Elephas maximus indicus: one gene and its partners. The main gene of each other region encodes a partner of the protein of the gene in region 2 in a complex. Links are inferred from orthologs where the notes say so. Each region holds a gene or a part of one and is shown on either strand. Other genes may lie near its edges. The genes, in order: SMC5, EID3 and NSMCE2.

The links.
Region 1: EID3 (region 2) and SMC5 share a complex: the UniProt entries of both Homo sapiens proteins name them as parts of the SMC5-SMC6 complex. The link is inferred for Elephas maximus indicus from reciprocal best matches to the Homo sapiens genes EID3 and SMC5.
Region 3: EID3 (region 2) and NSMCE2 share a complex: the UniProt entries of both Homo sapiens proteins name them as parts of the SMC5-SMC6 complex. The link is inferred for Elephas maximus indicus from reciprocal best matches to the Homo sapiens genes EID3 and NSMCE2.

Annotation. Positions count from the first base shown.
Region 1 is NC_064827.1:85,475,569-85,486,483, forward strand, and holds the start of SMC5 (structural maintenance of chromosomes protein 5), read left to right. Parts: upstream 1-5,950; 5' UTR 5,951-6,073; coding exon 6,074-6,396; intron 6,397-10,915. UniProt on the Homo sapiens protein: Core component of the SMC5-SMC6 complex, a complex involved in repair of DNA double-strand breaks by homologous recombination.
Region 2 is NC_064822.1:170,975,687-170,986,319, reverse strand, and holds the start of EID3 (EP300-interacting inhibitor of differentiation 3), read right to left. Parts: upstream 4,937-10,633; 5' UTR 1-4,936. UniProt on the Homo sapiens protein: Tissue-specific component of the SMC5-SMC6 complex, a complex involved in repair of DNA double-strand breaks by homologous recombination.
Region 3 is NC_064833.1:18,042,723-18,053,198, reverse strand, and holds the start of NSMCE2 (E3 SUMO-protein ligase NSE2), read left to right. Parts: upstream 1-6,034; 5' UTR 6,035-6,136; intron 6,137-10,476. UniProt on the Homo sapiens protein: E3 SUMO-protein ligase component of the SMC5-SMC6 complex, a complex involved in DNA double-strand break repair by homologous recombination. Is not be required for the stability of the complex.

The DNA of each region.
Region 1 (10,915 bases), on a different chromosome or scaffold from region 2:
CTAAGGAGCCCTGATGGTGCAGTGGTTAGTGCTCGGTTGCTAACTTAAAGGTTCGCAGTTCGAACCCACCAGCCTCTCCACAGGAGAAAGATGTGACGGTCTGCTTCCATAAAGATCACAGCCTTGTAAACTCTATGGGGTAGCTCTACTCTGTCCTATAGGATCACTATGAGTCAGAATCAACTTGACAGCAACAGGTTACTATCTAGCTAAGGAGCCCTCGTGGTCCAGTGGTCAAGCACTTGGCTGCTAACCGAGAGGTCGGCAGTTTGAGCCCACCAGCGGCTCTGCAGGAGAAAAGACCTGATGATCTGGTCCAATAAAGATTACAGCCTAGGAAACCCTATGGGGCAGTTCTACTCTGTCATATATTCACTATGAATCATAATCTACTCAATAGCACACAACAACTGCCTAGCTACCGTAAAGTAGAGGGCCAGTGAAAATGAGGGAAACCCTTCATCAGATGATTGACAGGATAGCTGCAACAATGGGCTCAAACATACCAACGATAGGATGGCATATGACCAGGTAATGATTTGTTCTGTTATACATAAGGTCGCCATGAGTCAGAGCTGACTAGATGGCAACTAACAACAACTGTCTGACACACTCAACAAATAGTTCTGGATTAAATAAACAAACGCTCAACTAAAGCATTTAGTTTAGTATAAACATGCATGTGGTTTCCAAAAAATCATAAGGCATATGAAAGTTCTCTTCGGTCCCTCAAAACTTCATTGGTTCTTTTCATGTATTTGTCAGGACATTACTCTCCCCATCTGTCACGGACTGAATTGAGTCCCCCAGATATGTGTCAACTTGGTTAGGCCATGTGTGGCAGTCCTCCATTTTGTGTATTATAAATCATAATCTCTGCCTGTGGTTAAAGAGGATTAGGGTGGGATGTAACACCCTCGTTCAGGTCACATTCCTGATCCAATGTAAAAGGATTTTCCCTGGGATGTGGCCTGCACCACCTTTTATCTCTCAAGAGATAAAAGGAAAGGGAAACTAGCAGAGAGTTGGGGACCTCATACCACCAAGAAAGCAGCACCAGGGGCAGAGCACGTCCTTTGGACATGGGATCCCTGTGCCTGAGAAGCTCCTCAATCAGGGGAAGCCTTCCTCCAGAGCCGACAGAGAGAACGCCTTCCCCTGAAGCCGACGCCCTGAATTTGGACTTGTAACCTACTGGACTATGAGAAAATAAATTTCTCTTTGTTAAAGCCATCCACCTGTAGTATGTCTGTTATGGCAGCACTAGATGCCTAAGACACCATCCTCTAATATTTCATAAATCACCAGGCTGCAGAGTTCATATTTGCATATCGTAAAATATGCAGCAAATTTAAACCCAGACCAAAAGTTCCATGAAGACTATGAAAAAATGTGGCAAGAAGGGGTGAGAGAAGAAATGGAGTAGATGTATACACGAGTGGGAGTAAGACTTCACAATACATAGCGTTAAAAATAAATAAATAAACATTGCTCATTTGAAAAATTAAATTTTAAAAAATATGACAAGAAATATATGCTTGAGAACATGAAGGTATTCTACAAGGTATGGGAGAGCGGACAATAACCTGAGCACCCCATCCACACGACAAAACACTTAAAAATGCTTGGTGAGATTTAACAAACTTTACTGTAAACAAATAACTAAGCTTGTAAGAAAGGAAAGGAAACCTCCTCCAAAAAAAGAAAGAGAACCGAAAAGCAGAGATGTATGAACAATTCTGGAGGCGGCTGTCAATCTGGGTACCTAGGGATTTAAGCTGTTGCATTAAAAAAGAAAGAAAGAAAGAAAAAATTACCCATAAAAAATCAGAAAAGAGCCTACCAAAGGTGAGGAGTCCAGTACTGAGATTCCAAATAAGGCTAAGAATCTTAAAGAGCTACATCTTCCATGGAAGAATACACCACAAAAAAAAAAAAATTTTTTTTTTTTTCTTTCCAACACAGGGAGACAACGATGCTTACCTTTCTCCATCTGGACTACGGAGTCATGGCAGGAGTTCCTTGAGGATTTCTAACTGGATTGTACAAGTCTGGAGCACAAACTGCCCTCCCCTCGTGTTCTGGGAATCCACAAGCTAACAATATAACATGAAAATGTGTCCCTGGCCAGCGACATCCTTGGGGCACCCGGTAGAAAAAACATAAATTTCTTTAGATGGCCATACACTCAACCCAGGCTGCACGGAATTCCCACATCAAAAACTGCACTGAAGAAAGACTTGTAGTTCAAAACTACCAAACACTTCGTGAGGCAATCCACAAGGCGCAACTCAGCAGAACTAACTACCCAAGCTTCACAAACAGGGATTTTTTGGTAGATACTTTAAAGTAAGTATTTTTAAAATGATTAAAGACATAAAAGCAGCATGGAAAACGTAACCAAGGCTACTTTATGAAAGAAGGTAGGCAAATTTAAAAAAAGCAACAAATAGAACTTCTGTACATGAAAAGGACAGTTATTAAAATTAAAAATTTGGTAGAAGAGGCAAACAGCTAATCAGACATATCTAATAGAAGAAAAATGGTGAACTGGAATATAAGGTAAAAAACCAGAATGCCATACAGAGAGATAAAGAAATGGAAGATATGAAGAGGAGGTTATGAGATGTGAAAAGAAACTGAGAGGGGTCCAGAAAAAGAGAATGGGAGAGAGGCAATATCAAGGGGAAATATTTGAGACTGTTTCAGAATTGGTTATAGAAAAAAATGCTCAACATCAGTGGAATTAATGAATTCAGCAGTGTCAAGATAACTACATACTTTTAGGGGTGCCACGAAATTTTTGAAGAATGTTAGGAAGAACTGCCAGAAATATCACTCGTTCATGGTAACTTCCCGTCACACAGAGTCCGACAAAAAGCAACTACGTACGTAAATCAACTATAGTAAATTTACAGGGTCTCTGTGAGTCAGAATCCACTGTGCGCCAAGTTTTTTTTTTACAGGTTTTATAGTAAATCTATTTAATATTATATAGTCATTAAAAATTATGCCACAGAAGAATATTTACAAGCATGGGAAAATATTCATAATATATTAAGTGGCAAAGAAGACGTTAAATAAAATACACGTAATATATTATGTATAGTATCATCTTTTTCTTTCAGGGTCAGGGAATACTAAAAAACACACACCAAAATTTTAAGTTTCATTAGCTCTGGGTAGAGGAATTATGAATAATTTTTTGTGTATGTTATTTTCCTGTCTCTCTCCTCATTCAAAAAAATTTCTGTTTAACACGTAAACATGTATGAGTTTTGTCATACACAAAATGTTACTCAGTGCCACCAAGAAAGAAGAGCTGGAAGTGGAGCATATCTTTTGGACCCAGCGTCCCTGCACTGGGAACCTCCTAGACCCTGCGTAAACTGATGCCAAGACACATGGAGATCTCCAAGGAACGTCAGGTCCACAGATACTGAAAGGAGACAAAGACCTTCTTGAACAGAGCTGACAGAGAGAGAAAGCCTTCCCCTAGAACTGCCCTGAATTTGGACTTCCAGTCTTCTAAACTGTGAGAAAATAAACTTGTTTGTTAAAGCCATCCAATTTTGGCAATTCTCTTACAGCAGCACTAGATAACTAAGAATTTGGTACTGAGACTCGGGCGCTGCTCTAACATACTTAAAATGTGGAAGTGGTTTTGGAATTGGGTAACAGGTAGAGGCTGGAAGAGTTTTGAGTTTTTTAATAGAAAAGGCCTAGATTGCCTTGAAGAGACTGTTGGTGGAACTATGGACATCAAAGGCAATTCTAGTGAAGGCTCAGAAGGAAGTGAAGAGAGCTGTAACATCGGAGATGGCACAGAAGGCAAGAAGCTGCAGCAGCAGAACCAGGAGACAAATCAGTAAAATTTTCCGATTTAAATAATGGTGTTAGAGCATGAGTGCTTTGCTGCTTAGTCTGAATTTGTGTAGTCATCACAAGTTCAAAAACACTGTTTTATTAGTTTATTTAAGAACTGATTGTGGTGGAAAACTGAAGCCTGGTTCCCTGCCTTCAACTCCCATTACTACTGCCTATATATATTTTTCCATTAGGACCAACCCACTGCTGTCGACCCCTAAATGTAATTATTTCTTAGAAGATTTGACTCTTTTAAGGCTTTTGAAGCAGTGTGCCAAATTACTTTTGAAAAAAATTTGACCAACCCACTGCTGTTGACCCCTAAATGTAATTAATTCTTAAAAGATTTGACTCTTTTAAGGCTTTTGAAGCAGTATGCCAAATTACTTTTGAAAAAAATTTCTACTGGTAATATAGAGGATGCCAGTATTGTGCTCTCCTGAGTACTGAGTGTTTTACCATTATTATTATTACTGCCTGCCATTTGAACAGTTTTAAAATTATTCTTTCAATTTGCCTTTTTTTCTAGTAGCTATGAGGAGTTCATACGCTTTTTAACTATTCTATTTTCATCGGTTATAACTTTGAGAAAGGTTGGATTCCATTTATGTGAGGAAGAAGCCTGGCCCTGGAAGAGAACTGTTGGTCCAGGAGTTCCACTACAATAGCTTTCTAAACAGCCTCCTTGCTTCCATATTTGACCATCTCCAGTAGATGCAACCAGAGTGGTTATTTAAAAATTTTAATTAGATCATGTCCCTCTCTTGCTTAAAGCTACCCAGTGGCTTTCCATTGCTTTCAAAATAACATCTAGGCTCTGTCATGGTGGAGCAATAGCTATAAAAAAAAAAAAAAAAAGGCCTCATGTTCAGTAGAAGGTCATGGAAAAATGAGTGAAACCCTCAACGAGATGGACTGACCCAAAAGCCACAACAATAGACTCAAACATACCAACAACTGAGAAGACAGCACAGGACTAGGCAACATTTTGTTTTTTTCTATTAGATTATATACAAGGTAATCGTGAGTTGCAGCAGACTGCATGACAACTAACACTAACAATATGGTGAGAAACGTTGTTATGCTACCTTGTTCACTACACTGCAGTCACACTGACCTTCCCTTTGTTCCTCAGCCATCCATGTTGTGCCCACCTCAGAACCTTTGCTCTTTCTGTGTTCTTTGACTGGAATGCTCTTTTCTCAGATCTTCACACATCTGGCTCTTTCTTGTCCTTCAGGGCTCGCTCTGCCATCACTTCCCCTGACGGGCCATCCGTGCCTCTACCATCACAATCATGGTTTCATTTCCTTCATAGCACTCAGCTTCATGTAGATGAGACATTAATGTTAGTTGGGTGACTAAAGATCTACCTAGGCCTGAGTGCCCATCTTTAATGAGGGGGGTGGTTAACTAGGTAAATGACAATAAGGTTGTTGAGAAGAATTACCCTTTCAATGAACCCTGTGCATTCCAGCTACCGGATTTCCAGAAACCTTGGGGGAGGAAATCTTACCGCGGAATTAAGGAGAGAGGGGGTGGAGAGTCAATGAAGATAAATCTGTGCAGTGTACTCTTTTCCATAATTTTGAGAGCGAGGGCACCTAACACGACACTCCATGAGAGAAATACAGAATCATTCGATTTTCATTTTTTTGAGACGGGGTACCTCTTTTGAAACAAAGGGGAATGGAACAAGAAGACGACAAGACTGAGACCGGTGTGACCCGGCGCACTCGGGCAGAGTCCCAGCAAGCCGGGTCGGAGGTCCCTCGCCTCGGACGACCCCGCGCCCCGGGCGCCACCGCAACCGCCCCTCCATTCCCTCCCGCTGCACGTGACGGAGGGTCGGGAAGCGCATCCGGTTCTTCGGAGCGCTGAAATGTTTTTTTAAAATACTAAAAGCAATAGGCCTTTTCCTGAGTTAAAAAAAAAACAAAAACTCTGGAAACATGCAGGAATGTGCAGAGACTAACGTGCCCCTCCCCCACATCCCGCCTGCTACTCGGCCAACCAGGCCTCCTCCGTCCGGCCGGGCGCGGCTGGGCGGGACACCGGACGCCGGCGGGCCGGAAGTGCGCAGGCGCCGGGCGGGCTCGCGGGCTCTGTCGCGCGCCGGGCAGTTCGCGCGGGAGCCGGGGGCCCGGGCGGCGGGGCTGCAGGTCGAGGGGAACGGAAGCGGCTGGGGGACCGAGAGGGAGCCAGGATGGCGACTCCGAGCAGAAAGACGTTGACCTCAAGCCCCCAGGTCTCCAAGAGAGTTCTTCCGAGAGATCGTTCATCGGAGGTCCCGAGCAAGAGAAAGACTTCTGTCCAGTCAACGCTGCCGCCAACGCCGCTGCTGTCGCCGCCAACGCCGCTGCTGCTGCCGCCGCCAACGCCGCTGCTGCTGTCGCCGCCAACGCCGCTGCTGATGCCGCCGCCAACGCCGCTGCTGCCGCCGCCAACGCCGCTGCCGCCGCCACGGCTGCAGTCGTCCGGGCCTTTAGTGGAAGGCTCCATCGTCCGCATCGCGATGGAGAACTTCCTGTGAGTGGCCCCGAGGCCGTGCCGCGGCGGAGGAGGCGAGTGGGTCCCCAGGCCGGGGGGCGCCAGCTGCGTGCGTGTGTACACGTCGGGGTGTGTGCGTTGTGACGGCCGGTGCGGGGACGGAATGTGTGCTGGGTTGTGGGTCTGGCGGTGAATTCGCCCCGAAGGTCCGATGTTACCGTGAGGCTTTTTACGTAGGCGGTGGAGATCGACGTGTTTGTTGTGTGGTAGATGTGTGTGTTGTGTATTGTGTTCTTTTTATGCATTCTGTCAACGTTTTTTGAAGGCGTCATGTGGCAGGCAGTGGACGTACGAGGGACTAGGTGTCAGCCTGCTGGGAGTTACGGACTATAGGGGATATAATTTATAATTCACAAAACTGTGGGCCCGGGGAACTCAGGAGACAGCACTTTAATCCGAGTAGCAGTGATGCTATGGCAGGTTCCTAAAGAGTAGGCTTTTGCCGGGTGGACAGAGGAGTAGATAAGATGGCACAGGTTGTCCTGGATGGGGGTTGAAATGTACAATAAAATTAAATCTCACTCTCAATGGTTGTTCCTCTCAACAGACCTTTGATTTCTCCAAATCCAGCGTTCTTCCCTGGTTCATTTTCTCTCCCTTCTGTCAACTAGTAATCATTTTAGATTTTAGTAAGTATGTTTTAATAAACATGCCATGTATTTGTTTAGCATCTTACATACAGTTCATTTGTTCAATGTCTGTTTTTTGTTGTTGTTGATTTTTTTTGTTGTGTTTCTTAAGCTTCCTCAGAGTGGAGTAGGGGGAACAGAATTGTGATAACAATACCGCCATTTTTCAAGCACCTACCATGTGCCAGGTACAGAACTAGGTGCTTCATTTACCATATGTTCTCTCTTTCTTTTCGCCTAACAATTCTCTGTATATTTCCATTGATGAGATAAGCACAGAGAGGTTAATTTGCCCAGATTTACACAACTAATAAGTAGCTGAATTGCTCTTTGCATTTAGACCAGGAAAGATAAATTAATCAATGAGGTCGATTCTGTAGATGTCCTGGGGGCACAAAAGAAGTGGTTCATTTTGCCCACAAGTGTGAGAAAGAGCTTTATAAAGAGGGTTCTGAAAATCTTGAAAGATGGGAGGCTTTCTTCCCACAATCAACAAAGGAGAAGAGCATTGCAGATGGGAAGAGCTGCCTGAACAGTTTGGTATATTTAGAAAACTTCCAGTATTTCAGTATGGCTAGAACATAGGATGTAAATGAATATGTGGGCAGAGGTGATATGGAAAGGTACGTAACCATTGAGGGCTTACGTGTTTACTATGCTGCAGAATCCCAGCTTGATCCTGTAGGCAAACAGGCTGAGTTTTAAGTGGGGACTGACATGTGGTTTGTGTTACTGTGGAAGCAGTGTGGGGGATGATGCAGAAAGGGTGCAAGATTGGAGGTTAATAAGGAGATTTTGTAATAAGGAAGCAAGAGATGATGGGGTTTGAACACAGGGGTAGTAACGAGGTATAGAATTAGAAAGAAAAAAGATTAGATAGGATCTGGCTACAGATTAATTGTGAGACCTGAGGAGAAGAAAGGAGTGCTGCATTTTTCCCAAGTCTGTTACTTGGTTAATTGATCAGATAGTGCTACTATTCAGAAGAGGGAGCAGTTTGGGGAGAGTAATAATAAATGCCTCTTGAATCCTGTGACTTGAAGTTTCCTGTGGAACATTTCAGATATTGAGTTATATATATATATATATATATATATATATATATATATACATATATATAAGGGTCTGGGGCTTAGGAGAAAGTTCTGAATAGGTAAGAGATTTTAGAATCAGGTATACAGGCGATTATTGAAGTTACGGGAATTGTTGAGATTCCTCAAAAGAAAATATAAGCAGGAATAGAAGGCCAGGTACAGAGCCCTTGATAAATGCCGACATTAAAGGGTGAGTAGGAGAGGAACTCATAGACCGAGAAGGAGCTGTTCAGGGACAGAAGAGGAGAATGGGGGGAGAATATTATCACAGAAGCCAAGGAAAAAAAGTGTTTGAAAAATATTCTCTGGTACGATGAAGTCAGATAACAGGACTGAAAAGAGCCCACTGAATATTGCAACTAAGAAATGTTTGATTTTTCCAGTCTTAATGGTCTGACTGAGACTAGAAGGACCCCAGAGGTCACGGCCCCCAGACCTTCTGTTAGCCCAAGACTGGAACCATTCCCAAAGCCAATTCTTCAGACAGGGATTGGACTGGATTATAAGACAGAACATGATACTGGTGAGGACTGAGCTTCTGGGCTCAAGTAGACACATGAGACTATGGGGAGCTCCTGCCTGGAGGGAGATGAGAAGGCAGAGGGGGACAGTAGCTGGCTGAATGGACACAGGGAATACAGGGTGGAGAGGAGGAATATACCGTTTCATTAGGGGGAGAGCAGCTAGGAGTACATGGCAAGATGTGTATAAATTTTTGTGTGAGAGATTGACTTGATTTGTAAACTTTAAACTTTCACTTAAAGCACAATAAAAAAATTAAAAAAAAAAAGGGGATGTTTGATCTTCGATGAATTAGTGGAAGCAGAAAACTTTGTAGGCCATAGAAGAATGAACAAGGGATGAGGAAGTAAAGATTGGATGTAAAGAGGAGAGAGAAAAGAAGTCAGCTGGAAAGTGCAGAACCAGGTGAAGTTTTTGTTGATTTTAACAATGGGAAGACTTTGAGTTTTAGAAGAGGAGTAGGAGAGGTAGGTAGGCTTAGAAAACCAAAATGACCAAGAAGAAAGCAGAGTCAGGGAAGGATTCCTGTGAGAGAACCAAGTCCAGTGGGGTTGGGAGTAGATGTTTCTAGGCAGAAAAAAATAGCACATGCAAAGGCTTGGAGAAAGGAAAAAGTGTAAGTTGGTCAAGAAACTCAAAGAAGTTCATTATACAGGTAGTCCCCAACTTGTGATGTGGTTTCACTCTGATGACTCCGTTTTAAGTCACTTCTGACATAAGTCGAATACCTCGTTTTTGTTTTCACTATTATTGCCTTGTATAGGGTCACTATGAGTCAGAATCAACTTGACGTCAATGGGGTTTTTTTTTTTTTTTTTTTTGTATTAGTAGCGTTTTAAGTCTGATCTGTGTTTTGGGGGATTGGAAACATTACATATAAACATCTGTGAGTGAACACCTAAGAATGATAACATCCGCGAATTACACACTGCAACATTGTATGTAGTACATATTAGGATAAAATATACCAAAAAAAGGACCATCGTGTGATTCATCATAACTTGAATATGTTGTTAAGTTGGGGACTACCTGTGTCCAGAATTTAGAGATCTGAGTAGAGAATGAGAAAGGGGGTAGAAAGAAGAGAAAGACAGGGGGAAAAAAAATGTTGCCTTTGAGTTGATTCCAACTCATAGAGACCCTATAGGGCAGAGTAGAACTGCCACATAAGGTTTCCAAGGAGCAGCTGGTGGATTCGAACTGCCAACCTTTTGGTTAGCAGCTGAGCTCTTAACCACTGTGCCAACCAGAGAAAGATGAGGCTAGGGCTAAATTGTGAATTAAAGAGATTAGATTAGGGGAGAGAGGAGCTAGACAGGACTAAAGAAGTCTTTTGCAGCTATTCAGATAAGAGATAATGAGGGCCCGGGTAGTGGCAATAGGGATGGAGAGACGGGTGAATTCAAGAGCTAATTAGGAGGGTCACCAGCATGACTTATCGATTGATTCAATGATGGGAGCAGAGGGTAAGCAGAGGCAAAGGAAATCAAAGATGGTGTAAAACTAAGGCCTGGGTTTCTGATTCTGGAGCCCTGGTGGCACAGTGGTTAAGTGCTTGGCTGCTGACCAAAAAGGTCAACAGTACGAATCCACCAGCTGCTCCCTGGAAACCCTATGGGGCAGTTCTACTCTGTCCTGTAGGGTCACTATGAGTCGAAATCAACTACACAACGATGGGTTTGGGTTGTTTTTTTTGGTTTAGGTTTCTGATTTGGGGAATGTCATGAATGACAGTACATTCACTGAGAGATCACATGAGTAGTTTTGGATTGGAAAGATGGTAAGTGTTGGACATGTTAAGTTTGAGATGACTGTTTTGAGATATCCAGATAGAGTTATTGAGTAGATAATTGCTTAAATAGGTCATCTGAGCATGTAGATAGTATCTGAAGCCATACAGAATATGGGAGATAGCAGGCAAAGCATAGAGGGTGAGAAGAGATTGGACCTTTGACGAAAGCTCTTTTAGGGGTTGGACAGAGAAAAGAGAACTCACAAAAAGATGCAGAGGCTTTGTTTGTTTTTGGTAGCTCTCCCAGTTTGTAATATCTGTGTGTATATTAATAGGCCAGAAATTCCCATGCTTTTTCCTGTTGTCTTCAATACCAGTTAGATCTCTTTTTTAAGTAAGACATTTATGTAAAGATTTCACAGCTGGAAATTCAAGTATTTAAAGAAAGGGGCTTTGTGTATTGGAATTAAGAAGTTCTGTGTAAGTTAAGTTTCCAGATGTTTGAAGTGTCCAAACTAATT
Region 2 (10,633 bases):
CATTCTTGTCCTAAAGGAAATATGCAATTTAGTAGACACAGAGGAATGCAGTTCAATTCAGCAAGCAGCTAGTGATGAATGCCTACTACATGCCAACACTGAGCTAGGAATACCAGGGTTGACATGGGCTCAGCCCTGAATCATAGGCATACATTCTTATCAGGGAGGTCAGGTATGTATCCTCAAAGCAGTACCAAAGCTGAGTGCCAGAAGTCTGAGTACACCAGTGTGAGCTCTACACGCATACAGGTCTGGGTTCCAATCTTGGCTCTGCCACCTAACTGGCTGTGTAATTCTGGGCATGCTGCTTAACTTCTCATGGGCCTCCACTTTCTTATCTGTAAAACTAGATAATACCACCTCAACTAAGTATTACAGCATTTAGAGTCTAGCACATAAAAGGCATTCAATACAAGTTAGCTACTATCATTAATAGGAGCCTGGTGGCACAGTGGTTAAGAGCTCGGCTGCTAACCAAAAGGTTGGCAGTTCAAACGCACCAGGTGCTCCTCGGGAACCATGAGGCAGTTCTACTCTGTCCTATAGGGTTGCTGAGTTGGGATTGACTCGACGGCAATGGGGTTTTTTTTTTAATAGACACAAAGATTAAGACTAGCTCTGCATCTCTGACATAAAAAAACCAAAAACCAAACCCACTGTCGTTGAGTCAGTTCTGACTATCCTCTGACATGGAAGCCAAAAAATTATCCCTGGCAGGATTCCTCCTTTTCCAGAGATAAGGAATTTCTGGGAAAGCTGTGAAAGAACAGAGGAGGCAAGGAGTGGCCAAACCTGACCTCGTACCCTGAACAGGAGCAGCTGAAAAAGTAGATTTGGGCAGAAAAATAAGTCAAGAATTGAAATAAAGAACAGAATAAAGGAGGAAAATTTTAGGGAGTATAGCTGCAACAGTCAGCCTTCCCAGGAGCCTCCAGTAAATGAGGGAGCAGAGGAGATAACCAGAAAAGCAGGCTGGGGCCAGACCCTGGAGGGTACAGAATACCAAGCGAAGGAATGTACACTCTATCCTGGATGGGATCGAGGGGCAGTGAAACAGCCATCAGGAAGATGACTCTGGCAGCAAAGGGAACAGAAAGGGAGGGAGATCAGAAGCAGGAGGCCAGTTAGAGACTGCTGAAATAGTTTAGGCAAGAGGAAATGAGGCCCTGAAATTGTCTGGGCAAAAGTTAATAGAGGCAACTCGCAGATGTGTGGGAAATAGTTGAGTCCTGGTAAGTGAACAAAGAGGAAAGGCAAGATCAAATGTGAAGCCCCAACCATGTAAGAATAATAACGCTACACAGCAAAGAGGTCTGTGTTGTCACTTGGTAGAAGTGGAAGAAGCGAGTACTTGATAGGGGTGTAACACTTTATACCTGCATAGAAGAACAGAGAAATATGCTACCTATGGCCAGGACCTGTATGTCCACGTGTAAAATCGAAACTGCAGAGCTGCTAAATGCTGGCTCTATGAATAGAGTTCAACGTGGATTTCAACATGGATTCAACCAGTAAAATTTTACTATTCTGTGTACCAGATAAATTTATTCACATTCCTAACAATCCACTTCCTCTTTTAAATCTTGTTTGTAGTCCTTATCCCCAAAAGTTCCAAATTCTTATTAAGGTAAGCCTTCACTACCACCACCACCTCCAGTTGCCCTCGAGTCGATTCCAACTCATGGTGGCCCCTGTGTGTCAGAGCAGAACTGTGCTCCACACAGTCTTCAATGGCTGGTTTTTCAGAAGTAGATTGCTAGGCCTTTCTTCTGAGGCACCTCTGGGTACACTCAAACCTCCAACCTTTTGCTTAGCAGCTGCGTTAGTTAACCATTTGCACCACCCAAGGAGCCTGTTTATTTCCTTTATCTTCTCCTTTAGGTCTCAACCCTAAACCAGGCCAAAAGCAGATACACTACTAATCCTCCACCACGGAAATGGAATTACCTCAAAGAATCAAAGGAAATCAAGTTTTCTGGAAGTTTGGTACAGTACTGAGTGGAGTGGCTGGAAAGTTATTCAAATACCACTTATTTCTGATGTCTATTCATTAACAGTCTGGTTTCTAGTAACTTTAGAAGCCAGACTTGAAAGGAGATCTACCTTTTGTTCAGTATCTACCTCCCTAGGCTGGAACGTCACACCGCTGAACCCGACTACAATATGATCACATCTGAGCTCCTACTCCGACTGCCTGCACAATTCATTTGGATGTTAATCACCCACTGTGTTGTATCTGTCATCTCTATTACTGCCTTAAAGAAATTATCTAAATTGTGCTACTAGTTTTAAGGCAGTTTTGAGACAAGTTACCTTAAACTACTAAGTCTTAACTCTGTCTGGCACTTAATATTCCAACAAGGACTTTTTCATTCAGTTCAACACCACCAATGGTCACTTATATGAGTGGTTTCGAAATCTGGAATTCTGAAGATACTGATCTACGTATGAGACTCCCTATAAGAATGCTTGTAATCTTGGGCTTAAAAACTAAGATGTTTATAAAAGTCAGATGTCTTTGAGCAATAGGAACTCTATTCATAGGTTCTAGCATTTAGCAGCTCCCCAGTTCTAATTTTACGCATGGACATACAAGCCCTGGCCCTTAGGTAACACATTTCTCTATTTTTCTAAGCAGGTGTGAAGCGTTACACCCCTGTTGAGTTACCATTTGCCATGGTGGTGCCACAGTTAAGAGCTATGGCTGCTAATCAGAAGTTTGGCAGTTCCAATCTTCTACCGCTCCTTGGAAACTCCATGGGGCAGTTCTACTCTGTCCTATAGGGTCACTATGAGTCAGAATCAACTCGACAACAATGGTTTTCAAACTACTATCTTTGTTTTCTCCAATTCTAATTATTTTATCAACTGATCTTGACCAAACTCCTCTAAAGCAGCCTCAAATTTGATATTCTTAAGAATTATCTGAGGGAGTTTTTTGAAAAGAAAATAAAGAGGGTCTATTCAAGAAGAACACAGGTAAAGCTCAGGTATAAAAAAAAAAAGGTATACACATTTAAAAAGCACTCCAGGGGATTCTACACTTTTTTTTAAACACACTTCTTTAAAGTCTTTATCCTTTAGGTAGTCATCTAGGCTCACCAGATCCTGCCTTTGGGATTCTCTCTCCCTCTTCTACAGTAGTGCACTGTGAAAGCAAGGTAGGTTTTGCTGTTGTTATTTATTGAGAAGAAGAGGGAAATGGACATGAAGGGAAGGAACAATATTAAAAGGAGAAAGGCAAAAAGGATATTCTAAAGACTCCCTCACCATTACTTGATTAAGCAGCAAGTAAAGTATGAAGTCTTAACTTAAAGGTATGAACTTTAAGATTAGGACACAACTTCTATAAGTACTCACTCTCCACTAATTAAATACACTTCTCCACTCAAACCCAAAGCTCCCTAAAGATTTATCACCGAATGTGGATAATAACTGGCTGGAAATCCGCAAACTTCAAATTGATAGTCCTTACCCCTGTTGTGTCTCTTGTTCCATTTCTTAGCACTCATCAAAAAACAAAAATAAATCAAATGATACATAGTAGAGTAGTAAATTTACTTAAAAGGGATGTGCTAAATGATTTTTGTTTTAAGTATGCCTTGGTGGTATGCTTTTCATTCATGGTATTGCACCTCATTAAGGATCTGAAATTAACTATGATCATATGGAACTGAAAACATCAAATCATGTTAATAAAGTGGGTCCCAAAGCTTATAAAAATGGTGATTCTTTTTACTCCCATTGATGTTAAAACCAGGAGCATCTGTAGAATTATATAAAGACCAAATGCCTATGTAACTTTTAAGCATAAGTTTATGACACAGGTGGATAGAATAGAATAATCTGACAGAAAGGAGTATTAATAGACTTGTCTCATTTTACTTGCAAACTAAAGGTCTGAGTAACAATGTATTTCAAACAAAGTTAAAAGTCTTCTTATCTCCTTTAATTATTTCCCATTCACTTGCTGTCTTTGAAGTCTAGCTCCATTCCCTACACCCATTCTTAAAAAGTTAAATGAGATTCTTTCAGAAGCAAGAAAAGGTAATACATAAAAATATAAATTGTTAATAATTTCTTAAAGGCACACACACCTAAACACATTCTTTCATTCAAATCAGGCCTCGGGTTTACTGCTAAGTAGACAATGTTCATGTATCAGTTCCATTTCTTAAAAACTACACAGCTACAAATGGATGAGGACTAGAACTTTCTAAAATGATAACCAGTAGAACATCACTCATACATCTAGCCTTAAACATGCATTTAGCTTCCATGCATTTTTCCAGCGGTCAGTGGCTGGTCATAAGGGGCGGAGGGTGTCCCATCCTGTCAAGAACCAAAAGGAAGATTTCTTGTTCCCTTTTTTTTTTTCCTCCACCCAATTGTTAGCTCTGGGCTAAAAAAAAAAGAGATTTCTGAAAAGATATATACTCACCCCAGGAGTTTTCTGGTTGCTTTCTTCAGTGAAGCCTGGGGGTTTCTGGCCCCCCCCCCCGCCCCCGCCCCCACCCCGGGGAACTAAAGAGGAAGAGACAGGGGTGACTTGAGGAGAATAAGAATTTCCTGACTCCCTTTTCACAGTACTTCCCTAAAAGACGCAAAATCAAAAGTTTACACAGCCGCTAAAATTTTTTAAGTTATTTAGACTGACTGGGAGGGAGGCAGGGGGAGAGGCAATTTTTTTAATTTATTTTAAAATATGAAAATTGTTACATATTCCCGTTTCAAGCTTCCCGTCTTTAAATTTACCCATCGTCTGATCAATGTGAACTAACAATGTTAGTTATCCCACAAGTGTTTCTTTGTCATTTTCTAAGGATGGGCTCCGTTTTCAGGTTCATTCACAGAACACTGCCTTTAACAGGAAGCTGCCACAATGGGCTCGCTGAGCTCATTCCTAGTTAAGGCGGGTAAAAGAAACGTCAGTATCTCCTACCTTCAAGGTCTGATCATGGCCGCCTATCTTTCTCTGTTTCACAAACACCACGGGCACTTTGGTTTCCAAGGTCAATGCCGAGAGCGCTCCTTCCAGGACCAGCCCGTCCTCTGTAGCACAAAAAAAGCAGACAGTGGAGTCTGTAAGGTCTTTCTTACAGCCGACCGAGGCGGGAACTGTGGAGGGGCGGAGCTTCCGGGGCCCGGGGCCTTCCAGTGCACTGTGTGCCCTCTGGAAAGGCGGCGGTGACTCCCCTGCAAGTTAGCATGACTTGCTCCATTTCTGACCATGACTAAAGCCTAGTCAGATTTGGATTTTGGACCTGGACAATCTCTGTATTAACTGAAAACATGGCCTCAAGGCTAGATAGAAACGTCAGTTAAATCATAGCAAGTCTCTGCTAAAATTAACCGTCCCGTTTTTCCAGCAAGAATTTAAGACAAAATTTTCTCAGCTTTCACAAAACGCTTCCCCATTTAATTGGGCTTTGAACTCTGCACCTATATAGAATGCCAAAATCCAGCTTCCAATGTTTTCTAGAAATTTGAAACCACGAAGCAAAATTACCAACACTGCCCATTTAGGGTGCTTTTACTTAAGAACTTCGAAGCACCGCATCAAAATTCTAGATAAGACCAGAACTAATAATTCAGTTTTACAAAGGGTGAACTGAGGCAGAGAATGAGTCAGTGATAGAATTAAAAACAATTCAGTTACAACGATGTCAGGGCCATTCATGAGACAAAATCAACACTCAAACGTACATTTGTTTAGCGTTAACAATAATGACAATAGCAGCTAACGCTTCCATAATGCTTTGTATGTATTAAACATTTAATCTTTACAACTAGCCTTTTGAAGTAGGTATTATCAAGCCCCAGGTCCATTTCACAGATACGTTAACTGAAACACAGAAAAGCTATGTAACATAACCAAGAACACAAAGCTAGTTAGGGAACAGCAAAACCAGAACGCAAACCCAGGGAGTGTGGCTCAGGTTTATGCTCCGAACCACTACCCAGTACTGCCTGATACACCGAGATAATAAACACTGGAGTCCAGTAGCTGCCGCACTTCATAATCTCTGTCAAACTGGGCAACTCACTTGAACTTTCTGAGCCTTGCTTTCCCCCACCTGTAAAAACATGGCGATTACATATGCTTTGCCAACCTCTCAAAATTTCTGATGATTAAATGATGTAAAACTTCCTTGGGAAGGCATTCTTACACATTTACACTTTCTTAATGCTGTCCAGGATCTGTCAATCTATTCATCGGATTATTATCTACATTTCAAGAGTCGTGTACTAAGAAATTATACAAAAACCCATTTTCTCTGATATTCTGCAAACAAGAGCTAGAGGAAGGAAATCATCAGCCGACAGAGTGCCAGCCTCCCCTACCATATGCTGAAGCGTTAACTGACCAAGATGAAACTCATCTCTGAACGCTGCCAAGAAGCTCACCTGCCTTAGAAAAGCCTCATCCCACTTTTGGGACCCGCCTTAAAATATCTCCCCTTTCCCTGGAATCATAATGCACCGCACAGGCACAAAGCTCACACTCCCTGCAAGCAAACAGTCTCCAACGTGCTCACAGGCTACAGGCCTAGCGCTTTGTCCGTTTTCAATCACCGCAGAGCTTACTATGTTCGAGCAGTCGGACGTCAGGCTCTTCCTCAGAAGGGCCACCTTAGACTCCGAGGCACATGCCGGACTGAGGCGAGCTGAGGTGAAAGGGTTGGTGGTTTCTAATAGCTACGAGAAGCCACGCCCTTCCCTGAGTCGGAGTGTTAGCAGCCAAAGTCAGAATGACAAAGCAAAAATCCACTTCTCGTGCAGCGTTGGCAAGCTAGTCTAATCGGTTTAGCAAAGTGGCATCTCCTAACTGGGTGACACCATATCCTCTTCCTGCTCACAGCCGCCCCCAACGCAGGAAGACAGCAAAAACAATTTAAGAAATGCTTGGAACCTGAACCAACACAAGAGTGTGTGTGTGTGTTTAACTGAACAAAACTGGATTATGCCCTAAGGCAGTAGCTCCACAATTTTGCTGCCGGTTAATGATCACGTGGGGGTCTTTAAAAAGTACTGAAGCCTAGCTCCCACCCCCCCAGGCCTTCTGATGTAATTGGTATGGGGTGTGGCCTGGGCATCAGTGTTTTTTAAAGCTTCTCAGGTGATTCTATTGAGCAGTAAAGTTTGGGACTCATTGTGTTAAAGTAATGGATTAGTCAGTTTGGCAATTCCCTAAAGGAAGTTATAAGGCTTTTGAAAGAAATGTCTAGGCCGTTCTGACTAATTCTGAAGTGACAAATTCTCACCAACACACAAATTACCTTTGGACTACTTCCTCCTTTTCCCTCTCAGGTTTTGGTTTCTCTTGTTTGCCTCAACAAAAACTGAGAATAGATTTAACTCCAGCCATGCCAAGCCACCTGCAGCTGCGGAAGTGAGCCATGCTCTCTAATACTTCCTTGGTCCTGCTGGCATTCTTACTCAGCACCTCACACTAGTAAGCGGCTACCAATATTTGTTAAATGAATGAATGAATAAATGTCTTTCCTACTTCTTTGGAAAATGCTGTACTCAAGCACACTCAGGTGAGAAGGTTGTTGGGCCCTTAGGGCTGTCAGAAGCCACACCTCTGAACCATAGCCAACTCCTTTGAGCCCCTTCTAAGGCTCAAGTTGGATGCTTGGGTTAGCCGATAGCCTTCTGAATGGCCTTCTGAATGCATGCACAGGCACACCAAGCTCAAGCCTACTGCCATGGAGTCAATTCTGATTCATAGCGACCCCATAGGGTTTCCAATACTGTAAATCTTTATGGAGACAGACTGCCACATCTTTCTCCCAGAGAGCCTTTGGTGGTTTCTATTATTTTAACCACTACACCACCAGGGTTCCTTACACACAGGCACACGCTGCAAGCTAAATTGGTGGGTAATAACTTGAGTTAATCAAGACAGCTACCTGGCCAACTGACTGGAAGAGATCGATATTTATGCCTATTCCCAAGAAGGGTGATCCAACCGAATGCAAAAATTATCAAATAATATCATTAATATCACAGGCAAGCAAAATTTTGCTGAAGATCATTCAAAAGTGGCTGTGGCAGTACGTAGAAGGGGAACTGCCAGAAATTCAAGCCGGATTTAGAAGAGGATGTGGAACCAGGGATATCATTGCTGATGTCAGATGGATCCTGGCTGAAAGCAGACAATACCAGAAAGATGTTTACCTGTGTTTTATTGACTGTGCAAAGGAATTTGACTATGTGGGTCATAACAAATTATGGATAACATTGTGGAGAATGGGAATTCTGGAAAACTTAATCGTGCTCATGAGGAATCTGTACCTGGATCAAGAGGCAGTTGTTCGAACAGAACAAGGGGATGCTGCATGGTTGAAGGTCAGGAAAGGTGTGCGTCAGGGTCATATCCTTTCACCACACCTGTTCAATCTGTGTGCTGAGCACATAATCCGAGAAGCTGGACTATATGAAGAAGAACGGGGCGTCAGGATTGGAGGAAGACTTATTAACAACCTGCATTATGCAAATGACACAACCTTCCTTGCTGAAAGTGAAGACTTGAAGAACTTACCGATGAAGATTAAAGACCACAGCCTTCAGCATGTATTGCAACTCAGCATGAAGCAAACAAAAATCCTCACAGGTGGACCAATAAGCGACATCATGATAAATGGAGAAAGGATTGAAGTTGTCAAGGATTTCATTTTACTTGGACCTACAATCAACACCCATGGAAGCAGTAGTCAAGAAATCAAAAAATGCATTGCATTGGGGAAATCAGCTGCAAGAGATCTCTTTAAAGTGTTACAAAGCAAAGATGTCACCTTGAGGACTAAGGTGTGCCTGACACAAGCCAAGGTGTTTTCAATAGCATCGTATGCATGCAAAAGCTGGACAATGAATAAGGAAGACCAAAGAATAATTGATGCCTTTGAATTGTGGTGTGGAAGAAGAATATTGAATATACCATGGACTGTGAAAAGAACAAACAAATCTGTCTTGGAAGAAATACAACCAGGATGTTCCTTGGAAACAAGGATGGCGAGACTAGGTCTCACATACTTTGGATGTGTTGTCAGGAGGGATCAGTCCCCGGGGAAGGGCATCATGCTTGGTAAAGCAGAGGGTCAGCGAAAAAGAGGAAGACCCTCAACAAGATGGATTGACACAATGGCTGCAACAATGGGCTCAGGCATAGCAACAACTGTGAGGATGGGGCAGGACCGGGCAGTGTTTCGTTCTGTTGTGCATAGGGTCACTATGAGTCGGAACTGACTCGATAGTACCTGACAACAACAACTTGAGTGCTTCACCTCATTCTGCGTCCTTAGAACAGAGGATGGATCTAAAAAAAAAAAAAAAAATTTTTTTTTTTTTTATCTAGCACATAGACATTACAAGGTGATTTAAGGAATAAAAAATGAAAAATGTGATGAAAGGAAAGCTGAGGCTAAGGGAGAACACTGACATTTATTTATTCCTGGCTGCTGTGCCAACCTTGTGTTAACCATTTTTTATGTCTTATTTTGTCTACACAATAACCGATGAACCAGAGTCATAAACGCCTCACTCTAAAAGTATATATAGGAACTACAGCTTATTTCAAAAGCATGTCTGAGGAAAAAGGGATTTTAAAATCATTTAATTTGAAATGATGTACTAAAGGAAGTGATAAGGACTGATTTCAAAAAGCCTTTCCACAGACAGCACCTTGTAGGCACAGACAAGTCAGGGTTGCTATGGTTAATATTTTCTTTTTTTTAATAGCATACCAAAAAAAAGCTAAATAAGGCTTTTTAACTTCACATTGTTCTTCAGTGAGCAAATTAAATAGCAAAAACCGTCAGAGCAGCTCATGCATTTATTCTAACAAAGAAAAAAATTAAATTAAAAAAGAATCACCATTTTAAAACACATTCTTCGCTTCTTCAAACCATTCTTGCTGCTGTTAAGGAGACCCAAGTGTCTTACCCTTGTCACGAAATATAGAGTAGAGCTCAGTAGTTCTATTAGTTGCTGGTTAATGGAAAAAGAGCTTCATCCTCAACTATTTTTTATTATGCAGCATTTGTTCTAGTCATACATTCTCACATCTCCTAACTGTGCTCATTTTACCCCCTCCCAGCCCAAAATTATCTTCCCTCCCTAAGGGCCTACTCCATCAAAGCTCATCTAAAATGTCACCTCCTTTTCAAGGGCTTCCCTGATTACCATCTACTGTTAATCAATCCTTTCTTCTTCTATGTCCACACACACACAAAAAAACCATTGCAGTCGAGTCAATTCCGACTCCTAGCAACCCTTTAGGACAGAGTAGAACTGCCCCATAGAGTCTCCAAGGAGCACCTGGTGGATTCAAACTGCTGAACTTTTGGTTAGCAGCTATAGCACTTAACCACTATGCCACGAGGATTTCCCAAGTACCTAATAATAATTACAAATCTTCTAAATCCATGAGAGCTTTAGGAAAGCAAACACCTTGTTGTATTTATCTTGTCACCTCAGAACCTAGTATATAGTAGGTACTCAGAAAATGCTGAAAAAAAGACTCTTTGTACTTGAGTTGTCATCTACACACACTTATAAACAGAACTATGCAGGTGTTTGAGCAAGTCGTATTGCATTAAACTACTATTCCACCTATAATAAGCCTCTC
Region 3 (10,476 bases), on a different chromosome or scaffold from region 2:
CCTCTGTGCTTAACTCACTCCCTGGCATTGATGCACACGACAATTACATAAAAAATAACATGAGGGATATGAGAGGTGACGCCTGCCCCCTCCAGCTGCTTATAATACTGTTGAGAGAAAAGCCCTGAAGAAAAAGTCAGAGAAAGACGTGAAGTGCTTGAGTGTGTGGTCAAGATAAAGAAATACTGGGTGCAGCTGCCATTACCCTGTCAGCATGGAGCCTTTACTTGATCTTATCTTGGCTACAGTATTCTTTTTATGATAGATGATCTTTAAGAAAGTGGCATCGTCTAGGAAATCAGGGCTAGAGAAGGAAACCCAGAAGTTAGAAAAGACATAGTTTAGTAGATGACACTTAAAAACTTTTCTAGGGCTCCCAGCTGGAACAAAGGAGAAGACCAAGGATACAAGGGAAAGATTGGTCCAAAGGACTAATGGACCACAACTACCACAACCTCCACCAGACTGAGCCCAGCACAACTAGACGGTGCCTGATTATCACCGCCAACCGCTCTGACAGGGATCACAATACAGAGTCCCAAACAGAGCAGGAGAAAAATGTAGAAATACAGAACAAAATTAAAATTCAGACACACACACACAAAAACCCCAGGCTTGCTGGCCTGACTGGAGAAATTCCGAAAGTATGGCCCCCAGACATCCTTTTAGCTCAATACCGAAATCACTCCCAAGGTCCACCCTTCAGCCAAAGATTAGACAGGTCTATAGGGCCAACAGAAACCCTGCTGGCGTAGCGGTTAAATTTTACGGCTGTTAACCAAAGGTTCGGCACCAGGCGGTCCTTGGAAACTCTATGGGGCAGTTCTACTCTGTCCTATAGGGTCGCTATGAGTTGGAATCGACTTGATGGCCGAGGGTTTGGTTTTGGTTTTTTGGTTTATAGGGCCAACAATAACACATGTGAGGGATGTGCTTCATAGTTCAATCATGTATACGAGACTAAATGGGCACACCAGGCTGAAAGCAAAGACGAGAAGACAGGAAGGGACAGGACAACTGGACAAATGGAAACAGAGAACCCAAGATGGAGAAGGGGAGAGTGTTGACACATCGTGGGGTTGGCAACCAATGTCACAAAACAATCTGTGTATTAACTGTTTAATGAGGAACTAATTTGCTCTGTAAACTTTCACCTAACTCACACACTAAAAAAAATTCCTCTGAAAAAATATTATTAAATAAAGTTCATAATTTCTTAAAAATTTTTTTTTCCTATGGCAAAGAATTACAACGATGAATTTGCAATGCAGAGGGCAGACAGAGGGTTGATTTTTAAAACACGCAAAGCGATCTCACAAGCTGACAAGAAGAGAGCAAATAACCCAACAGAGAAACAGGCAGAAGATATAAAAGGTGAGTTCAGGGAAGAGTAATCCCAATGACAGACAACCATCCGAAAGATCCTTAGTTCACTGGCAGTGAAGGAGCTACAAATCAAAGCCAGTGCCAAAAACCACTTTACTTCCATTAGGTTGGCAATGATTAAAACGTATAATAATATCTGTTTCAGGTAGGAACTGGGGAAATACACTACTGGTGGAAATGTGAATTATTAGTCTTGAGAAAGTGAACCAATACTTACTGAAATTAAAAATATACACACTTTTTGACTTAGTAATCTCATGCCTGGGAATCTACGCCAAGAAATAAAAGCAGCAACATATAAAGATACAGGTCCAAGGATGCTTCCTGCAGAATTGTTAGTCATCTTACAAAATTTGAAGACAAAGTAAATACCCATTAGTAAGGAAACTGGAATTTAAGTAGCCATTAATAAGTAGGAATTAGAACTACACCGGTTAAGTTGGAGGATTTCTGAGAGCTATTACTAAGGGGAAAAATAAAGATGCAGAAACATAAATAGGATGCTTCCATTTTATAAAACAAAAAAAAAGTGATGTAATTAAAAATTATGAAAGTATACCATATAGTCCCCTGAAATAAATCAACTCAACTTGGTTTGGCCAAAGAATTAGTACATAGTTGATAAGAGGAAAAAAAAAAAAAAGAAAGAAAGAAAATCTTTTTTCTCTTATCGTAATTTTACTCTAAATTTTGTGTAATATAAAACTGGTACTTTGGGGGAGTACATGATTTCACCAAAACTGTCAATTTGATAATACAATATCCTGTACTTCAGAGTGGACTTTCATAGCCTGACCTTAAAATGGTAATTTTTGCACAAAAGTTTCAAGGCATCATTTTCTTCTCAAAGGCTCTCCCAACCATTTTTGTCACCATCTTTGTTGTATTTCTTGTCTCTATTGTTAATTTAGCTAGGTCATCATTTGTCAAGTTCATGGAAGCCTGTGTCTTTTGCAACATTTGCACTTTCACTCTGCACTGGTATTGTACTCTATACATATGATATTAACCATTAGGAAATAGCTAGCAAAGATAAGCATTTGGCCTCACAGACATCATTGGCCAGGAATATTTGAATAAAAGTAGTCAGCTCATTATCATTTTTATGTCAATACCATCTTTTATTTCCACAGGCAGTCTTACAACACATGGACTCAGATACTGAATGCTGAAATAGTGACTACACTGTACATAAAACCAGAATGTGGAAAGATGACAAAAATTACAAAAAATTGTGGCTTCTGGCTTGGGTATCTTCTGTAGCTTGCTTGCCACAGGGGAAGCAAATTGCCATGTTGTGAGACAGCCTTTGGAGAGGCTCATGTGACAGGGACTGAGGCCTGCCAACGATCACAGGAGTGAGCTTGGAAATGGGTTCCCACAATCCCAGTTAAGCCTTCAGGTGAGACCCTTCAGATGTGAGCCCATGCTCAGCTTGACTGCACCCTTCAGAAGAATCCCTGAGGCCAAGGTATTGGGCTAAGTCATACCCTGGCTTTCTAAACACAGAAAATGTGAGATAATAAGTAATTGTTGTCTTAAATTACTAAATTTTGGAGCAGTAATAATTATCTGGGTGAATGGCATTCCAGGTAGGGATTAAAAGTGCAAAGGCCTCAGGACAGGAATGTGCTTGATGTGTTTAAGGAACAGTAAGATGGCTGATGTGGCTGGAGCCTAGTGAGCAAAGGACAGAAGGAGAGATCAGGAAAGGTGGATGGGGTTGAGTTTGAGAGCAAGGAGATATGAGAAGCCACTAGGCTGTCTAGAGCTCTCATGACGGCATCCTATAATACACATAAGGCATGGATTTTTAACAAATCCTTTTAGTTTTCTCTGTGATGTTTGCTTGTTAAACCACACTGATCTCTAACAGGCTGAATTTCAGTAAATTCTGAAGGAGAACTTAATTTTCTGCAATGATATGGACTGGCATGGAAAATGAGAGAGGAAAAGGGAAAAATAAAAGACAACGGGCAAAACAGTCCCCTGTGGAGGGTCCTCTGAAGAACACCAAACTAAACCAGGTCTCAGCAGGATGAAAACTCTAGACACATTCAGAGAGGGGCAAGCGATAGTTAACAGGTCTAACTGCTACCTGGTTGTGGATAACGAGATAGGGCCAACAGTGGGGCCCTGGAGCAGTTTAAAACAAATCAAGTTAACTACTTTCTTCCTCACTCCTTCCCAACAAGCAGACAAACAGACACACTCAGCACCTTCAAGTACATATTCAGAGAAGCTGACGCCTCAAGTTCAAAACAAAACTAACTGGGATAATGACATAGACTTTTGCATGTCAATCTCTTGTTTTAATCCTTATGCCCTAACCCAAGAATTACAACGTAGCCAATTTCCAGAACAACATTAGTAGGAGAATAGGAAAATAAATGTTTGGCAACAGTGAGAGAAATGTTATGGACCTTTAATATATAGGTTAATCACCTTGTCTAAAATTCTAAAAAACAAATGTTTATCTTGACTTTTTTAATATAAAAGCAAGATATGGTTATATTTAATGCCCTTTCAGGGAAGTGCCTGTAATCTGCCCCAACTCATGAAGAACAGTTGAGTTTTCCTTCCCTAACACTGCTAGCATCTCTAGCTAAATTTTTGAACAAGCTAAAACAAGATTAACTGAAAGAAGGAAATCACTTAGTTACATTACCACGTACTAGACCATGTCATCTGCACTAGTTCGATTTTTCATGTTAACAAATGAAATTACCACAATTTGCACAAATTATTCTTTAGCTAGAGTATCTGGTAAACAGCCCCCACTGTTGACAGAAAAACTGGCCCTGAAGAACAGAACCTAGGAACCATCATTCAAGATGCCCAAACACCTTGCCTCCATCTCAGAGTTAGGAAACTTTACAGAAGGGGCAGTGGTTCAGCGGTAGCATTCTCGCCTTCCGTGCAGGAAATCGAGGTTTGATTCTCTGCTGATGCACCTCACGCTCAGCCATCATCCGTCAGTGGACGTTTGGGTGTTGCTGTGATGCTGAACAGGTTTCAGTAGAGCTGCTAGACTACGATGGACTAGGAAGAAAGGCCCGGCCATTCTGAAAAGTAACCAACGAAAACCCTACGGATCACAATGGCCTTACCCCCAGGCAATCATGAGGACGGCACAAAAGTGGGCATTCTGTTCCACTGCACACGCGCTTGCCTTGAGTCGGGGGTCCAATCGATGGCAGCTAACAACCACAGAGTATGGTGAAAATAAAAACTGTAGAAAAAGCTGTCTATAACCAGCCTTTGAGGGGTTCTCTTGATGCTAGAGATGAAGGAAATTCATAAAGACCGTTTTACTCAATATAGGCTGCATTACTACTAGTGTAAAAAAGAACCAGAGTCCACTCAATTTTCTAGTTTTTTTTTACAAGTCATCCAGAAAAGAGGTTGTAACTTTATTTTTAAGAATGTGGCACAAAGCTGGGCTTTTCAGTTTGGAAAGTACTCCTAGACAAAAGACAGCACGCTTTCATGAAGAAAGGTTGGCATCATCACACCATGAGTACAGAACCGAAATTCTGAAGAAAATTAAATTATTCTGAGACAAACTACTGTTTACCCTACTCAGAGGACAAAGGATGATGTCTATTTTTATCATTTCACAAAACCTCAGTTCCATAAAGAAGGAAGCACTGGTTTCCACAAATCCATTATCAAAAACAAAATATAGTGGTTGCTGACCAAGATGAAAGTGACAGGCATATCTGTTTCAGAAATGTTCTGAAATGACTCTGATCATTCTACTCGGATTTATGAATCCAGGTGAAGGAAAACTGGGGGTCCCTCACTGTGGGCAGAGGCAATAAAACTCGCCCCTCCCTCCCATCACCTATGTTTGAGAAAGAACAGTGCACTTCGAATTAGAAGACCCGATTCTATTACTGGCTCTGTCACATTTTTTTTTTTTTTAATGGTGAGACCATAGGCCTAGAATTCTTTTTTCGAAATGCAAAGGACAGGACTTTGGCGCTATTATGTCACCTGTGAGGAAATTAAGGTGCAGAGAGGGGCAGTGATTTGCCCAAATCCAGTCCATCACAGAACTAGAATTCAAATCCTGGTCCGTTAGACTGTAAAAGTTCTCATTTTTCTTGAGAGTAAAAAGAATTATGACGTTCGCACGGCACTGCTCCGTAGAACTTGGAAGAATCAGATAGGAGCCCAGCATGGAAACATCGCTTCCTAAAGCGCCAAAGGAATGTGCAACATTTTTTCCATCAAAGTGGAAATGAAGAGCCTGGACTGCAGCCCCCAGCCACCTGCTGCCGCCAAGTCCTCGGCCCTAGGGCCCTCCCTCCAGACCCCCCCACCCCGACGCCAGGGTGGCCCAGCGCCGGGACGGAGGACGGGAAGAGGAAACGTGCAGAGGAGGGCGCGCGCACCTCGCCCGACTCACCTGTCACTAGGGCCGCGCCAGTGGCGCTCATTCAGGGCCGGCAGTCGCACACGGACTCGCGACCTCCGCTCCCCCTACGCAAGGGTCCCCTTAGATCCCCAGACTGGTACAGCCACCGGGACTGACCCCGGCTTCCGCTCCCGGAGCCTCTGGCCGTCACGTGACCAAAGGGGCGGTGGGCAGAGCGGGGCGTCACGTGACCACGCTCCGGCGACGGCTGATGACGCAAGGGCCCGCTCGCCGTTCTCAGGGGCAGTGCAAGGGGGTTAGGAAAGGTGTGGGGTACCGTCATGGGAAGTCAGGGTGCAGCCGGACGGAGATAGGTCGGGCAGCCAGGTAAGGCAAAAGCGGGGTCGGCGGTGGAGAGGGTGGCGGGAGTTGTGTCCTCGCTCCTGGGCGCTCTGCGCGTGCCCTGAGCGGGAACTGTCGACTTGGGTTTGGTCCTGGCTCTTTTCACGCAGTGAGACTGGGGCAGTTTACCTCCCTTTCCTAGGCACCGTCTCTCCAAACTTCAGTCTTGAGTGTGTGGGGAAAAGATCACGAATTTTTGATCCAAATAAATCAGGTTTTAACTTTTTACAAGCACGGCCTTGGACAAGTCAAGTAAATAAACTCTTTGGGCTTCAGCTTCCTTTTCTCTTACGTAAATTGTTGTGAGGATTAGCGATAGTGACAGGGAAGCGCCCACAACTACTTTATGGCACACTGTTGGAGAAGGAAGCTCTATTGTATTTACTCCTATTTTTATTATAGGGTCGCTGTGAGTCCGAATCGACTTGACACGGTGGGTTTAGTTTTTTGGTCTTTACTCTTTCCATTGTTCTTTCTTCTTGGTGTTCCAGGACCTCTTCTTTTATCATTTCCTTTCTGTTTCGGAAACTTTTTCTTTAGTCATTCTTGTAGGGTAGGTTTGCTGGTGACAGATTCTCTTAGCTTTCCTCCACTTAATAACAGGGCCTTGAACCGGTTCGTTCTGGTGTGAAGCCTGCTGAAAATTTGCATTTCCACCTGTGATAGTCAGAATCAGAATCCACAGTTTAGCAACATCCCCAGGTGATTTTTATAGATCCCCAGGTGATTGTTCACTGGTTCCAAGCCTTGCTTGAGAATGTCTTGATTTCCCCTTTATTCCTGAGGGACATTTTTGCTGGACGTAGACCTCTGGGTTGACAGTTCTTTTCTTTCAGCACTTGGAAGTTGTTGTGCCATTTTCTTCTGGCCTTCATGGTTTCTGGTGAGAAACCTATCTTTCAAATTATTTTCCTCTATAAGAAAGGCAGAAACTCTGGTGGCGTAGTGGTTAAGTGCTATGGCTGCTAACCAAAGGGTCAGCAGTTTGAATACACCAGGTGCTCCTCGGAAACTCTATGGGGGCAGCTCTACTCTGTCCTGTAGGGTTGCTATGAGTTGGAATCGACTTGACGGCACTGGATTTAGCTTCTTCTTTTTTTTTTAATAGGAAAAGTTTTGTTTCTCTCTCACTGCTTTCAAGATTCTTTGTTTTTAGTGTTCTGAGGTTTGGATATGATGTGCCATGATGGTATTTCTTTGACCTTACACTATTTGTAGGTCCCTGGGTGGTGCTATGAGTTGGAATCAACTCCAGGGCGACCAGTTCCCCCGACCCCCGCCCCAGGTGGCACAAGTGGTTAAGCTTTCAACCACTAGCCTAAAGGTTGGTGGTTTGAAACCATTAAAATCACTAAACAGCACCACAGAAAAAAAGGCCTGGTGATCTGCTTCCATAAAGATTACAGCCAAGAAAACCCTATGGAGCAGCTCTACTCTGTAACACATGGGATCTTCATAAGTTGGAATTGACTGGACAGTAATGGGTTTAGTTTTTGAGTTTTTGTCTTGTTTGTGGTTCACTCAGATTCTTGAAACTGTAGGTTTATGTCTTTTGTCACATTTGGGAAGTTTTCAGCCATTATTTCTTTGAGCACTTTTTCCTCTCCTCTGGGACTCCAATGAGATGAATGTTAGATACTTTCGTATAGTCCCATGTGTCCCTGAGGCTCTGTTCTTTTTTTTTTTCCCCTCAGTCTATTTTTCTCTGTTGTCGAGATTGGCTAATTTCTATTCTTGTCTTCAGTTGCATTGATTCTTTTGTCTGTTGTCACCATTCTGCAGTTGGGTCCATCCGTTGAGATATTTATTCCGATTATTGAACTTTTTTTAGTTGTAAAATTTTCATCTGGATTGTCTTTATATCTTACATTTATTTGCTGTGACTTTCAGATTTTTTATTTGTTATAAGCTTGTTTATAATTGCTTTTTTCGGCATTGTTACGAAGGCCACTCTAAAATCTCTGTCCGATAACTCTAACATCTGTGTCATCTTGGTGTTGGTGTCTGTGGGTTGTTTCTCATTCAGGGTGAGGTTTAGCACTTCTTGGTATCACTAGTGATTTTGGATTGAATCCTGAACGTTTTGGGTATTATATTATGAAATGCTGTATATTATTTAGATTTTCTGTTTTAATAGGCCTTCTGTGACACTGAGCTGCTGAGGGAAGGAACAGTGGCTTGTTACTGCTGGATGGTATTGAAAGTCCAGTTCCCCACTCAGTCTTGTTATGACTGTGAAGGGGTGGGAGTGCAAGCTCCCTGCTAGGACTCCCCGGTACCACCGTGGCTGGGAGGGGTACGGTGCCTTGTTACTGCTCTCCACATAGCCTTCACCGTGGGAGTTGGGGGACGGCCGTGTTACCCCTAGGTGGTAGATGAAAGTCTTGGCTGCCCTCTAGGCTTCCTCTGACACCAGCAGGGCAGAGGTTGGGGTGGACATACAGGCTCCTCAGACAGTGTCCACTGACACAGCAGGAAGGGGGAAGAAAGGCTATGCAGGCATGAAAGTTCCAGCATCCCACTAAGCCTTCTCTGAGGCTGTGCCCGGAGGAGTGCCTCATTACAGCCCAGCAAGGGCGAAAGCCTAAGCCTTTGCTGATGGGGTTGAGGCTGCAGAGTTTTTGTTGTTGTTTGCGTGTTTTTGTGGTGTTTACCTAGAGTAGAGCAATTGTCTAAAAGTTTGGCTTGCTGCTGTTGTTGTTAGGTGCTGTCGAGTTGATTTTTGACTCATAGCGACCCCATGTGCCGGAGTAGAACTGCCCCGTATGGTTTTCTTGGCGGTTTTTTTTTAATCTTTTCAGAAGCAGATCGCCAGTTCTTTCTCCTGTGGAATGGCTGGGCAGGTTCAAACAGCCAGCCTTCAGGTTAGCAGCTGAACACTTAACTGTTGTGCCTCCAGGGCTCCTGTTTTGGCTTTCTAGGCCGCCCCTTTCTTGCTTCTTTGGTTAGAAAGAGCAAGCTATTCTTGGGATTTTTTTTTTTTTTTTGTCTGTGTTGTTGTCCTGCCTGGGTTGTTGGGTGCTCAACCACCCAGTCTGGGATAATGAGGCAAAAAGAAAACCCAAGGAACTCACCACTGTGTTCTTCAGCTCTCCTGCTCCTAGCCAGTCTGCCTTCTTCTTTCCACCTTTCAGAGTCTTATGTTGGTTTTACACAATGTCCAGGGTGTATAGGCAAAACCAGTCATCTAACTCAGACAGCCTGGCTCCAGAGGCTGCATGTTTAATTGCTATTCTATATTGCCTCTACAGTGTAGCTAATAAATATTTTAATACAGACATGTTTCCTATTATCTCTAAGCGAAAGTGATATTCCAGGAAGATACATCCTGCTTATACTGTGGGTTTGGCCCTGTTATTTAACTGTGGTTCATATAGTACAATTTTATAACCATGCCGCTCAATCTGTGATGTCCGGTATGGTAGCCACTTGCCACAGGTGGCTATTTAAATTTAAATTAATTGAAATTAAATAAGATTAAAAACTCAGTTCCTTGGTCACACTAGCCACATTTCAAGTGCTCAGTATCCACATGTGGCCAGTGGCCATCACATTAGAGAGTGCAGGTTATAGAACATTTCCATCATCACAGAAAGTTCTATTGGGCAGTGCTGCTGTAGATAGTTTAGGCTTACCCTAGAATCAAGATTGACTGGAAAACTGAATACTTAGATCATTCTGGTCCTTGAAGGATTGTGTTTTTTTGTGTGACAGTTGGTGCTATACCAGGGAAGCCCCCAAATCTACATGGCTTTGCACAATTGAAGTTTGTTTCTTTCACACGTAGAACCTGTCTGGTGAGCAGATTTCCTCCATGCAGTGATTTAGGGTCCCAGGCTCCTTTCATCTAGTAATTCTCTATCAACATAAAGCTTCTTAGGCCACGGTGCTTGCCTGTGTCAAGCTCTCAAATGGAAAAGAGTATGGGGAAAATGTGGTTTTCACGGGCAGGGCCTGGAAATGGCTTACATTTTTCATTGGCTTGAATTCAATCAAATGGCTACACCTAACTGCAAGGAAGGCTGCAAAATGGGGTCTAGCTGTGTGAATGGTTAAAGAGGAAATGGGCTTAGTGGGTACCTAACTGATCTCTGTCATGACTATCCTGTCTTAGCTTACACTGTGGAATAGGAAACAATCCTGGGAAACTTGCTATTACTGCATTGATTGTAAGCATATTATTGAGGATATTTTTCAGTATGACCCTGTTACAGTTTTGGAGAGATATACTGTTCTAGGTGCTGAGGACACACATACAGCATTTCCATTGCCATAGAAAGCTGTATTTTTTCTAAGCTGGTGTACTTCTTCTTTATGGGGAAAGA